Caenorhabditis elegans: one gene and its partner. The protein of the gene in region 2 purifies or fractionates together with the protein of the main gene of each other region. This does not show direct contact. Each region holds a gene or a part of one and is shown on either strand. Other genes may lie near its edges.

The links.
Region 1: the proteins of Y53C12A.10 (region 2) and pak-2 fractionate together in Caenorhabditis elegans (co-fractionation; one large-scale study listed by BioGRID). This does not show direct contact.

The regions. Positions count from the first base shown.
Region 1 is NC_003283.11:11,034,739-11,042,916, forward strand, and holds pak-2 (Serine/threonine-protein kinase pak-2), read right to left. Parts: upstream 4,686-8,178; 5' UTR 4,664-4,685; coding exon 4,538-4,663; intron 4,415-4,537; coding exon 4,290-4,414; intron 4,249-4,289; coding exon 3,861-4,248; intron 3,504-3,860; coding exon 3,097-3,503; intron 3,053-3,096; coding exon 2,749-3,052; intron 2,235-2,748; coding exon 2,016-2,234; 3' UTR 1,724-2,015; downstream 1-1,723. Other genes in the region: C45B11.9 (Ac108), read left to right, coding at 5,615-5,701, 5,766-5,897; C45B11.8 (uncharacterized protein), read left to right, coding at 6,092-6,178, 6,350-6,559, 6,607-6,633; C45B11.5 (uncharacterized protein), read left to right, coding at 7,086-7,154, 7,197-7,284, 7,335-7,486, 7,531-7,563; C45B11.2 (uncharacterized protein), read left to right, coding at 8,079-8,098. UniProt on the Caenorhabditis elegans protein: Serine/threonine-protein kinase which plays a redundant role with pak-1 in embryogenesis but, in contrast to pak-1, is not involved in commissural axon guidance of ventral cord motoneurons or in distal tip cell (DTC) migration.
Region 2 is NC_003280.10:9,700,562-9,706,508, forward strand, and holds Y53C12A.10 (tRNA-uridine aminocarboxypropyltransferase 1), read right to left. Parts: upstream 4,286-5,947; 5' UTR 4,220-4,285; coding exon 3,769-4,219; intron 3,717-3,768; coding exon 3,460-3,716; 3' UTR 3,251-3,459; downstream 1-3,250. Other genes in the region: Y53C12A.7 (HEAT repeat-containing protein), read left to right, coding at 30-164, 533-652, 698-847; mop-25.2 (MO25-like protein 2), read right to left, coding at 1,397-1,567, 1,781-1,983, 2,028-2,263, 2,310-2,407, 2,781-3,002, 3,052-3,138; Y53C12A.3 (Protein YIPF), read right to left, coding at 4,484-4,554, 4,605-4,728, 4,778-4,900, 4,947-5,088, 5,157-5,290, 5,336-5,431, 5,555-5,677.

The DNA of each region.
Region 1 (8,178 bases), on a different chromosome or scaffold from region 2:
CTACTCACCCGGTTCCGCAAACTAAGCGTTGAAGAAGCACCAGCGAACATGAATGAAAATGAGCAAAGGAAGTACACCTACAATGACCACTTTTTGTGCTCTTTGGGCTTTCTACCCAATCTTGTGTCGTCTGGCTCTTTTTCTTCTTGTTCTGATGTGTCTTGATCTCTATCTCTCTCCAGATCCTCCTGCAACAATTTGATTTGATTTGAAACTGACAAGTGGCCGAAGTGAGCAATTGAGAGTGTCAATGAGTTTTAAAGAGACGAGAAGATGATGATGAAAGATGTCATACCTCCAGTAAAAAAGATAATGTTCACTCACTAATCAACTAGTTGTCAAAAGTAAATGACAACGATGCTTTAGTTATATGAAGCTACAGTGAATACCAATTTAAATTATCTATTAGAAGAGGTGTATTTGATATTAATAAATCAAGTCAACTGATATAATCATCAATTGAACTAAAGTGCTAGAATATATCAATTGGGTCATTTGACATGAAGTTTGACAATAAGAGGATAAAAAACAATCATGTGAGAGATGCAAACTTATTGCCACTCCACAAACAATACTATGAAAAAATTGAACAACAAACAATTGAGCAGAACGCATAGGTTCTAAATGAAAAGACGCGAGGGAAAATTAACAAGGCACATCTAAAATTTCACAAATGTTTATAAGCGGCATGTGCACCATTTTAAGTATCTAATAGGGATGTAACTGGGTGAAGGTAAAACAGTTCGAGTCTAACATAAATCATTTGAAATTGAAATCTTACAAATTTAAAAAGATTTGTTTTAATTAATTGTGAGTACTGTTCAGAGTTTTGTAGAAAAATTTCGAGGAGTCGGTTTTATATGGAAGTTAGTTTTAAGGTGAACCATAAAAATACCTATATCGTCTTTCGGCGGTAACGTGACAGTACGTTCTAAATGTTTAATGAAAATTCTGGTTTTCTCATAGTTGGAATTTTTAAAACTTCCTGTGCTACATCAAATGAACAAATCTTTAAAATTTGATACCTGTAGCTATAACTATAACTCAGGTGATGGCGGGACCCTCTCGGAAAAACAGCGTGCGCCTTTAAACTGATAAGTCTAAATTTCGCGAAATTACGATAGTTGAAAACGAGGAGCCCGTGATAAACGTGACCTATGTTTTGATTGTCGTAGATAGGGATTCTATGGGGGTTTCAACTCACCCATCTCTCGCCCGGAAAACAGCTTCGGAAAAATGGGAAATAAGTTATTTGAAGTTGAAATTAATTTGAAGTTTGAACTAATTGTACTTTCAGAGCATTGACCTTGTTTTATTGCTGCTCTCAATTTGAAGCCATTTTCAATGAAAATGAGTAAAATAAAAATGCCTGAGGCTATAAAATTGATATAAAAAGTGAGCAAGAGATGCCGAAAAACGACGAGAGCACCGGAATGAAAGACAAACGGACCACGGGATACTGATTGAGACGAGCTGATAATTGTGATGAGGAGTGCCGGAGCACCGCGGCGGCAACGAGTACGGATCCACAAAAAGATGAGAAGCGGAGTTGCCGCCGGCAGGCCACCGGAGAGGCGAGATGACATTGGTAAATTTCACGGGCTCCCGAGATGACACGAGATGAGAAGAGCAGCCGCGTCAGGATTCTTTGTTTTTAGTGATGAAAGAGAAAACGAAACCAAAAGTTCGTTGAGAGTTCTTCTTGTTCGGACGCGTGTCCAATATTTGTATTTTGATTTATTAAAACAAAAAAAAAGAATATTAAAATGATGTTAATTTGTGAGAGGAGAAGAAACCGAGAAAATGAACCCGTAAAAGAAACATTCTTCTAGGGGTGAAGTACATGAAAAATGTTGCATAAAAGGCAGTGTGGTGTCTCTCTAATGAGTTATCATCATCATACAAGCAATACATACATACAATAATAGCAAGGTGAAATCAATCAAGGAAAGGGGTAATACTGATCTGAATGTGAAATGATGCATGTTGAGATGGTGTAAATGAGAAAAAAAACATCATTGAATTACTGTAGTTATTTGAGATGAGTGATGATGAGTTGGTGGATTATTTCCATTAATCGTGTTACCCTGTAACTGTAGAAGGAGAGGAGCAATTGATGAAGAATGCTGAGCTTTTGCAAAAAATGGATGACGAAGTAAATCTTTAGCTGGCCACCGTTTATTAACATCTTTGACAATGCAATGTGAAAGCAATTCAGAGAGTTCCACAGATACCTGGAAAATATAATTTTAGATATTTCAAATAAACTGCGTTTTGAAAGAACTTAGTAGTTTTTGAAAAAATTGAATTAAAGGTGGAGTACGGTCAACGTGGATTTTACTCTATAATTCTACATATTCTCGAATACCACATAGCAAAAGTATGACAATCGCACAATTTTGAAATTTGAAAATCGCGAATTTTCAAATCTCGCTAACTTTCATGTTTGAATTTCCTCCAAAATGAGAAGCCACACCCACTCGCACAAATCATCTGATTGGCTCAAAAGTGGACAGTTCATTGATTGGTTGTAGTTCTGATTTTGGAGGAAATTCTATTCAAAAGTTGAAAATTGCGTTTTCGAGAGTTGACCATTTTTTCAATTAATTTAAAAATCTTTTTTGATTTTCTCTTCGTTTGTATTGTGGTACTAAAACATATGGGACTATTTCGAGTATACTAAAATAAAATTTTCATTTAATTCTTCTTTATCTGCTTGAATTTTTAACGTTATCCTATTCTACCTACCTTGGCATGCCTACTAAATCTTGCTTCATGTTCATCTCGTATCCTTTTCATTGCTTGAAACGGCTGATCATTGAAAAACGGCGGTTCTCCTTCTACCATCTCGATGAGCATTATTCCAAAAGACCAAATATCAGCACGAGTGTCATATGGTTCACGAGCAATAACTTCTGCAGCTGTCCAGTAAGGCGTACCAACAAGCGAACGACGACGAGGAACTTCTTCAGATAGTTGACCACAGAAACCGAAATCCGTCAGTTTCACAGTTCCGTCTCGCTTCAGTAGAATTGAGTCGCTTTTTATGTCTCTGAATATAACATTTATTAAGGTGATTTCAAGAATAAAACCAACCTGTGTATTACTTTTCTTGCGTGTAGAAAGTCTAGAGCACCAAGAACCTGCCTTGAAATGGTAGCAATTTGTGGCTCAGTCATACGAGTTGCAGTCACAATATCTGTCAAGGATCCACCTTCCATGAACTCCATCACAACCCAAAGTTCATCATCAACAAGATGAGAAGAGAAGAATCGAACAATATTGGGATGTTGATACTGCCGAAGTATTGATACTTCATTGAATAAAAGTTCTCGGCGTTGTTGTTTCCGGAGATTCATTCTTTTCACAGCGACTATTTGTTTTGTTGATATCTTGTATGCAGCTTCGACTACTCCTGTTGATCCTTCTCCGATTTGTTTGTAATCTGTGAGATCCGAACGAGGATCCGTGCCGTCAACTACGAATTTCAGCGCATTTCGAAACTGAAATATGATTGTTTTTTGACAAGAAAAAATATTTGTCTTATATTTTCCGCAGTTTTTATTCGTATTGTTAGAAATGATACATTTATCTTTTGAGAAGAAAGTCTCTATAGAATTTAGTTTTTTAAAAGTCAAAACAATAGTTTTAGTGAAACATTGTCTCAAACGTTTGTCAAAAAATGTTTTTTTTTATGGGGTTATTCAAGTAGTGTCGGAAAATTAAAAATTGTAGAAAAATTACGTCACAACTGTATTCAAGTATACAAAAACATGTATTTAAATACATTTGTGACGTCACAAATGTATTTAAATACATTTTGCTATATTACTTGAATAACCCCATTAGAAAATGCATACCTCTTCATCGCTGACACCTTCAGTGCATTTCGGCTGTTGACGCATGGCTTGTGGCGTTGAAGGAGATTTGGGTTGTAATTGAGGAGTCGTTGTTCTTGATGGTGCAACAATAGTTATTATTTGTTGATACTGATGTGGCTTCTCTACTCCGAATGTTGTTGACATTGGTGGTTTCTGATTGCGTAGAGGTAACGGAGCATAACTTGGATCATTAAATGGATATCCTCTTTGACTGACTGGTGGAAGCGTTGGACGGAATGAATGTCTTGCAGATGAAACATTAACAACAGGTGAAGCTGTTGCTGATATTCGAAGACTATTGCTTCTAGCGACACTTGGCATTGGAGAGTTTGTCATACCAAAGGGGAGTGGTGAATTGTATCTGAAACTGAAAATAAATTACAAAAAATTGTCAGAAACAATTGTTACCTTGAAGATGGTCCTCGAATTACAGTTTTCAGTTCAGCGACGTCTACCGGTGTAATGCAAGATGGATCGACCATTGGCTTCGGTCTTGATATTGATCGAGGAGGTCCAAGAAGAGCTTGCCATTGCTGAAAAGTGTTTAGTGAACTTTTCTGAAGTTTTTTGAATCACTAAATCGGAAAACGAATTTCATACATTTTTTCATGCAGTTTTTTTCAAGTTAAAGAAAAAAATAGTTGAGAAAAACGTACTTTTGGCAGTCCAGTATAAGTTCCTGATCTTGCATCGAATCCAGCGTGTATTCGATGTTCGAAATTGCTCGGCGTTGAAATTTCCGACTTTTTGACTTTTCGGCGCAAGGAAAACGTTCGATTCATCTTCTTCTCGGCATAACTAATTCTGAAAATTGGAAAATAACCTTATTGCAATTTAGAAGAGAGAAAAATCAATAGGAACGATAATTTTGAAGGTTATTGAAAATCGATTGAAGTGTGAAAAACACACAAAACGAAGGAACAATGCTACAGCGCAAACGATCGAATTAAAAAGACATCTGGTGGTCGAACAGAGACAATAATTGAAAGGAGGCAACACGCGATCTGACGAAAATTAATTCCGTAGACACGAAATTGTGGTGAAATTTACAGAAAATGAACAAAGGCGAATTAAAATATAATCAAAGTCTGAAAATTCATCTAATTGAATTTGTAAAACAGCCTTCGTTTCTGTTTTTATTTGCAAAACACAAGTCCGGCGATAAAAACTGTTCAAAAAATTAGAAGGGTCTCAATGCATTGTCGCTCTATTGATACGTCTAAGAGAGTGGAAACGCAGTGAAAACTCAAGAGATGGTGCATCATGGTCAGTGACGAAGAGACGAAGACCATTTTCGCAGGATATATCGTAATTTCACTAGATTTTGAAATGTCAACTGAAAGGCGCAAAAAATTATGGTAGTTAAATAAAAAATGTTTATGATTTCAAGACTGTAGAAGACAGATTTAGAACAATTTTAACAGAAAATCAATAAAAAACCTACAAAATTTGCTAAAAACGAAGTACTTTCATTGAAAAATGCAAGGCGAATAAATAGTGAAGCATTCTCTGAAATTAAATAAAACTACCATAAACTTTTTGCGCGCCAAGACCCATCTGTAATAATCCGTGCGCCTTCAAGAAGACATGTAAAAATTTAGTGTTATTACGATAAAATAAAAAGTGTCTATGAGATTTTCTAAATACTTCAAATATTTATTTACGTCAAGCTCTGCTTGGAAATGTTAATTGAAATTTTCATTTCTGAAGTTTAAACAATCAACCAAACGAAAATGTCTTCTAACGACACTTCTACAGCTGCTAATGAAACGTTGAATAATGCCATTTTTAGAATAAAAAATGAATACTATGATTTTCAAGTAAGTCACTTAACGTTATGATATAGTTATAACTTTCCTGTCCTGAAAATTTGAAATTTTGCAGTTTCTGGATATGCTATTCATAAATCTGGTCGTTATTTTGTTGATTGCCTGTGGTTTCTGGTGCTTGTGTGCATCCTATCGTCTGAAAGAAGACGACAAAAGTGTCTCCGAATCAAAATCTGAAGCTGTATAAGAATGATAACTACAATAATAAAATATAATTTAAAATTCCCAAAATGTGTTCAACATCAAATCAAGAATATTTCCGTAACACCCTTGAACTATTCTCTAATAAGTTAGTTTAGAAAAAAAAAACAGAAATTAAAGTTTATTTCGAAACATCTATCAGGCAATTGCAATATTATCTCCGTGACTCAAATTTCGACAATGTCGCCTAATGTCACCTCTACTGCAGCTACTGTTATTCTCAACAATGTTCACATTAAGCTCATACAAGAATATGACTATAATACTGTAAGTGGAATAAAGCTAAATATACCCTGGAGGCCTATACGATATAAGCTGATATAAGCTGATATAAGGATATAAGGATATACTGATATAAGGATATAAGCTTATATATATATATATATAAGTTTTGCGAGAATTCAATTCTAGATGCAAAAAACCTTTAAAAATTTACAGTGGACAATGATTTTACTCACTATTTTTGGTGTTTTCTTTGCAATTCTGTGTGGACTCTGGTGTCTGCTGGCTGCAAGAAATGTGAAAGATGATGAAACAGTTGTGATCGATGACAATTCAAGATCAATTGCTGGTTCTGATTTTTCAGTTGTTGAAGTTGAAAATGAAGAAGTGAAAGAAGTGGGAGGATTTGTCAAATACTTGACTGATGTAAGAGAAGTCAATTAGGTTAAAAAATAATGTTATTCTGATTTTAGATTCGCAAGAGTGTGATCTTCATCTAGAGAAAATAATTCAACAACAGAAGTTACAATGAAAATGAATCTCTAGTTCTTTTGTTGTATTATGTCACCAATTCAAAAATAAACATGCGTTACAATCCCTGATATCGTCCAGTTCTTTGAAAATTTAAAATTTAAATTGGGAAGTTTGGAACGAGCCTAGAGCTCACGAACAGGCAGGGTCTCCTCATTATTGTTTAAAATCTAGATGTAAAATCAGTGGATTCGGAAATATCACTTCCCGGTCATTTTGTAAATTTATGTGGAAAAGTTTCAGTGACATCAAATTTTTTTTGAACATGTTCTGCCAAAACTTGCGGAAATAACAAAAAACAAACTTTTACATTTTTACATGAAATTTTTCAAAAAAAATCAAATTCTCCACGTAATTTTTCTCAAAAAAAAGATAATAACAATTTTAATTCATTTCAAATTTTAATTTTCACTCTTTGACAATGAATAATACTACTGAAGTGTTCGATAATGTTGAAGTTTTAATTTCAAGATATCAAAATGATCAATTAGTAAGTTAATTTGTTGCAACCTACAAATATATTTATGTTTAGTTATTCTGCCTGGTCGTTACATTTATCACGATTGGAATTTTTCTTTTGTGTGGAGCATGGTGCATCTATGCAATTCGAAAAATGCAAGGTAATTATATTATATTGTTGGAAGAGCTATTCTTAACGTTTTCTTTTTAGAAGAATCCAGCGTGTATCATTTTGAAAATGAATTTAAACCAGATGATGATAGCGTTCCAATAAATTCAAAAAGAAAACCTGCTGGATTTTGTGATATTGATATAGAAAATAAAGAGAGAAGAAAAAGGAATAGAAACAATTATTTCAAATCGGTAAGTGATTGTAAATGATAATCTTATTAAAAATCCAATTCCAGATTGGAAAAAGCTTCATTATTTGGAAAGAATAAGATGATATGATAAGAAAAGTGAACGATGCAGAGAGCTTTCTCTGTTTTTTCCTGGGTTTTTGTCCATATGTGTGTCTTTTTCTTATTTGTTCTGATAATAAACCGTATCCTTCTCTCTTTCTATATTTTGATCCGATGCGCGTAATGTCAATATTATCGCATTGACTCATAAAAGGAGATACCGATATTTTTCTCATCATAGATGAACCTTCTTAAACTAGTTTTTACTAGAATATGATATTTGAAAATGAGAAATGAAATTAAACGAGACTGTGGAAAATGCTTGTTCCTATTAGGAATTAGGTCTTGAAATATGTAGTTTAAATATTCAACGTCAACTGTTCTAGTTCAAATGCATGGCAGCAATCATTCACTGATAAAGTTTTCCAGAACTAGAAACAAACATCATCAAAATGTTAGTTACTCATTGATTTAGAAATTGCGAAATACTTCACAATAAACGAATAAAAATACGGAACATTTTCAAAAAAAAAACAGCGAGCTTTTCTATTTCAATGGAAGATGAATACTTTTGGTGAGTTGATTTTTTGGTGCTTACAAATTTTATAGATTTTCAAATTTTGATGTGATTTCCTTCTTCGTAAACACTTGAAT
Region 2 (5,947 bases):
TGTTCATTCCTGAAAAAAATTCCACGAAAATGAAAGTGCCAGAAGAAATCCAAACGGAAATGATGGCTGACATGCTTCGTGAAAAAATGAAGAATCACAAAAAATCGAAACCAAGTGGGAAAAAGAAGGAGAAAAACGAACAAATCGTTGCAAAAGCTGATAAAGTAAGTTTTGCTACTTTTCGCAGAAAGATGGTCTTTGCACGAGTCAAACTTTTCAATCTACCGTACCGTTCTCGTCTTATTATAGAGACGCATAAAAATGCGTTTATTGAATCGCGCTCCACGGCCAGTTGGACACACTCCGCCCCCAAATGTTGGGTCTCGTGAGGTATTCACGGCAAATCCGTACATTCAAACTTTTTCAATTATTTTTTCCTGATTTCACCCGTCTTCAAGCAAAACGTTTGAATTCAGTTTTGCCGCCGTACCTAACGAGACCCAACGCCTGAGGGCGGAGCGTTTCTATTTGGCATTGGAGCGCGATTTCAAAAAGCGAATTTTTCAATTTTTGCAAATGTGTCAATTTTCAGCCGACTTCTGTTCAAAATCCAGCAAGAACACTCGTTCAGATTCAGGAAATTCTTGCGGAAAATTCAAATAATGATGATCTGAGCAAGTCGATGGATTTATTGATTCCCGTGATGCTTGGGGTAAATTTTAAAATAAATTTTGTATTTAAGTCAACTTTCTTGAAGATGTTATTCTGCTCTCCCCATCCCAAAGTCCGTGACCAGGCGATTGAGTGCCTCCGAACTATAGATCAAAAAATGGGAAAATCAATTATCGAAAAGCATGTGAAGAGGATGTCGAATGAGAAGAGAACTGTTATAGCGTCTTTGATTTGAAAATTTTCATGCTAAAAAATCGATGTTTCTGACATTTGAAGTCATAAAAATAGAATCAAGAAATCGTTTGAAATATCATAAAACAAAAAAAAAAGACAATGATCATGGATAGAGCGAGAAAATCAAATTCTTTGATGAAGAAGGAAATAAACCTTAACTTAACATGTGAAAAACCGTAAAATAAGAGGGAAAACAGACGGAAAGGGGATGGATATTTTTGTATTCGTACATGATTTTAATATGGGGGATTCTTTTAAAGGAACGATTATATTTTGTTTGCAGAGAAAGACGGTAAAGATCGATGCCTAAAGCGAGGTGTGGATGGAACAAAATTTTTGGCGATTGGAGGGCGGGGAGGTACTACTGTATCTTAATATTATAGCTACAGTAACCCCCGAAAATTTCACAAATGATAATTGTGGTTTTTTTTTGAATATTGATAAGGATAAGGATGCACTACACAAAGCCACTCACAAAGAAATAAAACATTGGAATAAAAACATATGGATTGTGAGAATTAAATAAAATATTTTTTGTCACATTCCGTAATCAGACACGAAGTTCTTGTATCTGCTTGATGAGATACGCCTTTTCGTCATTGAATTGCTCGTCGTTAGTTCGATCATTGTGAAATGCAGTGAGAAATTCTACGAGTTTATCACGATTTCTTGTCAAAATATCAGTGATTGGACGTGGCTTGTTTGGATTCGCGACGAAGATCTGAAATTATGGGGTTTTATAGATTTTTTTTGGAAATTTTCTTAAATTTCTTGGAATAAAACGTAAAGATGTAAAATTAATAAACTTATTCTTCTTAAAATTCAATTTAAGACTTTTTTTCATCTTCAACCATTTTTCAAGATGTTTGATTCACATACAATAACTTGTTTTATTTTCAATCCAAATATTTATCTGAAATATCAAAAGAAATACCTTAAAAACGTGGAAAGCCTCGTACTGGATATTCCGTCTCTTGTCTCTCAACAATTCCATCACTGTTTTCAGATTCTCTGGACTTGTGATATATTTGTTCATTGTGCTGAAATTATGTCGATCGAGGAGAAGCTCGCCGAGCAGTTTCAGCGATTGGCGTCGGGTCACGTAGTTTTCTGAGTTTGTGAGCGCCGAGTATTGGCCTGTAATAACATAATTTTTTATTTAATATATCAAAAGTTCTCACCGAAAAATCGATCGTAATTATTATCCAAATACTCTGCACACATATTCTTATGTTTTGTCATCAAATCTTTGAATGTAGAAAATGCATCAGTGGCGATATCGAAAACGTCAGATTGAACAAAAACGAAGAACCGTTGGAAATATTCAGAATAGAGAACAATTCGAGCAAGATGCTCATGGCGGACAGCTTCACGGAGCATCGAACCGCATGTCAGGGCAATATCTGGTTGCTCGTATCTAGAGAATTTTTTTTTTTTGGATAACTTTTAGACTTTGAACTAACCCAAGAAGAAGAGTGATGAGAATTTCTGGTCTTGCAGCCAAGTATTCCACAGTTGGTGATCTTGTTCCAATTTGACGACGGAGCAAATTATTGAACACCTAAAATTATCATTTATTCATTTAAAAAATATAAAATTTTCAGAGCTTGATATCAACCAGACGCCAATATACGGTACTCGGTCTCGACATGACGAATTCAATTGTTTTTAATGCAGAGGGGTGTGTGCCTTTAAGGAGTACTGTATTTTCAAACTTTTGTTGCTGCGAAATTTTCATATCTAGTTTTTATCACGAATTTGAGTGTTTTTAATTTTTTTAAAAATAATTATAAGTATATTTTCATCGAAACTTGTTAAATTTTTACATTTCGCAAAAACGTATCGTGCCAAGACCGCGTACCGTATTTTTGGTGCGAAAGTTGCAACATTTCGTGACTGCGTTATATAATTTTTGATTTTTAGAATCCACATACCGATGCCACATCCTTCTTACATTCGAATTCAAATTTGTGCAAATGTTTAATGAGCATCGGGAGCACATTTGCGTTATAAACTTCCTGAGCCAACTGGGTCACTTGCTCATTGTTCGGCTCGTTTGCGTCTGATCCGTAAATGAACGTTTTTGCCAATGCCAACATTTTCGCTGTTTCTTCGATAGCTTTTTCGACTTTCCGCTCACTTGTGTTGGTTCCATGCTGGAAAATTTAAAATAAATAAAAATGATATTTAAAAAAAGAATCTCACTCGATCAATAACCAGCAATGCATCCCGCAGATTCTTCACCACGTCGGCGGGTGTTTTGTCCGCTTTTCCGAACAACGGCTTCAACATAACTGGAATTCTCTTTGAAAAAATCAATAATCTGAAAGACTCGTCAAAAGTATGTTCGATTGTTTTTAAAACAAGTGGATTAAACGATTAAAAATAGAAAAATACGACGGAAGGGAAACATTTTCTTTTTTATTCTTTCACATGTGTGGAAAAATTTGGGAAACCGGTCATGCAAATCGAGGAAAATCGCAGAGGAGAAAGAATTGAGTGTAAAGTAACAAACAACAACTGAGATTTCTAACAAGTCAAAATTCAAATATTCAACAATGAAAAAACAAAAACTGAAAAATTTTTTAAATAAATTTAGAAAAGCATTTAATATTATTTTTCTTCGCTTCTCTCTTCATCTTTCCGCCTCAAATAATCAGCCTGTTTCCCATCGACAAAATGTTTTGTATGGAAAAACCAATAAAGAAGATCATCGAATTCTCCACTATATTTCCGTCCGAGACCCAATTCTTGATATTCTCTAAGCGAATAATAAATTGCTTCGATCGTGGCGAGACCCGTTTCGGGAACGTTGTGTTGAGGCCGCCAGAATGCAGTACGGTATGATTGAAGAGATACGTGTTGGAGTCCTTAAAAATCTGATTATTATTATTACGATTTAAGATTTTAATTAGTATATACCTTGAATTTGAGGTGTCTTCTGCATAACACCAACTTGAAACCACGTGCAATCTAATACAACAATTCGTTTGATCGGTCCTCTTGTTTTTACAAATTCCTCAACAGAAATTGCAGATTTACTCGGAAAAATGATTGCAGTTCCTTGCCGTTCATCTTCAGAATCTTGTGAATAATCATGAACATTTGGATAATCAAAGACTCGAGTTTGATCAGGAGCCACAATTTTACAGTGAAGAGCACTGCTTTTACTATTTTTCTCCATTGGATGCTTGACGATGTCGACGGCACAGGGAAGCTTTACAGTTGGCGTAAAAACTCCGGGCATAGGAGTTCGACAATCATAACAGAAATATTTTCGATTTGATTTGCATCCTGGACACGTAGATTTCACACAATTTTCAATGGGATCGAAGCTCGAGAGTTGGACCTGATGCTCGCTGATAACTGACATGGGAACTCTGTAAATAATGTCTTGAAAATCTGAAAACTTAAAATATAATTAATATAGAACAAGGCTCTCAACCTTTCAGATTAGCAAAAAAAACAGTTTAATACATGTTCGGAGAAGATTTTAATAAATAAGGACTAAAAAACAATAAATAATACAACCATAGAATCAAGAAATATAAAATCATTAAATATCCCGTGTTAAATGAGCGAAAATCATCACAATTTGTATACATCTCGTTGGCTAAAAATAAAAAAATAACTATAATTATGCGACTGGAAGTGTTTCTTTGATAGCATTCACATCCACGATGGCATCTCCAACCATTTCGTCGAGTTCTGAATTTTTACATTTTTAAGACACAAATTTCTAATAGAAATATTATTACCTTCTAATACTACGTGGAAACCGAAATGGAGATAGATGATCAGCAATAAGTGAGCTGCAATTGCGATTCCAATAAGTAAAAGTCGATTCGCGGGAAGACGAGACTGATTGCACACTATTAGGCCCTGAATTTCAAAATTTTTATTTATTTTTTCAGTTTTATTTTAAGCTAACCATTCTTAACGCTGAAGGTACACAGAAACTGGCGAGGAGCACGAAGAAGAATAAATGATCATGAGATGAGTGAAAAAGCGAGGTTAACAGAAGTACGAGGCATTGTGAAGTTAGAGAATAGCCCTGAAAACAATTATTCTTGGTGTTCTATTTATTTTTTTTAACTTACAAAGCTCGACAATATCGTTAAAAATGGTTGCTCAGCAGCTAACAAAAAGCACGCAATCCAAAGTGCTCCAGAAATGAGCATCCAGCTACCAAAGCATGTGAACATTGCCGTACCCATTAACGTTCCATTTTGAATTACAATTCTGAAATCATTTTTATTTTATTTGAAATTTTGATTTTTTACTAAAAACAGATAAAAATAAACACGAACCCGCTGGTTTTCATGTTATACAGCAATAGCGCCACCATGGTGAGTACGAGCATAGTCGGGCCATATAAATCCGGTGAAACTTGTATTTGCGATGGTTTTCGTGGGATAAATGACCGAATAAGACGAGTTCGGACCTATAAATACATGTTTAAAGCTTAATTGTGAATTTTTCTTCAAACCTCTGCTGGATCGACATCGAAATAAGGGCGAAACAAATCGATACGACCATAAGATTGAAATGTGTCTTGAACCTGTTTTGATCCAGCTTCCCACATCTGAATTTTTGAAAATCAAAAATGCTTTAATGCAATCAAGGTTCTTTTCAAGAAACCGAAACTTTTTTGAATTATTTTTTTTCGTTTTATATTCTAAATTAAATTAATTTTAAAAAAACAAACCATCTTTCCCAATTGCGCTTGCATTCCAAATTGTGGATTCTGTTCATCGGGGCTTCCTCCAGCATTACTGTTCGATCGTTGTCGAGTATTTTCCGTTTCCTGGCCGTAATACGTTGGTTCCATCACTGGAATATATTTCAATAATTTCAATTTAAAGTCTGCTATTAATAAAAATTAAAAATCAGATAAAAATATATAAAAATAAACATTTTCACAGCAAAAAAATGATTGAGAAATCAATTCAGTGACGACAACTTGCTGGTGTGCAACCATGCTCCATTGGACAGACGTTAATGGCGCCTCGTTCAAATTTTATATTTTATGGCTTGTTTATTGCCAATTTCATGAAAGCTGAATTTAATAGAAAATTAATAAGAAACATTCATTAAAATC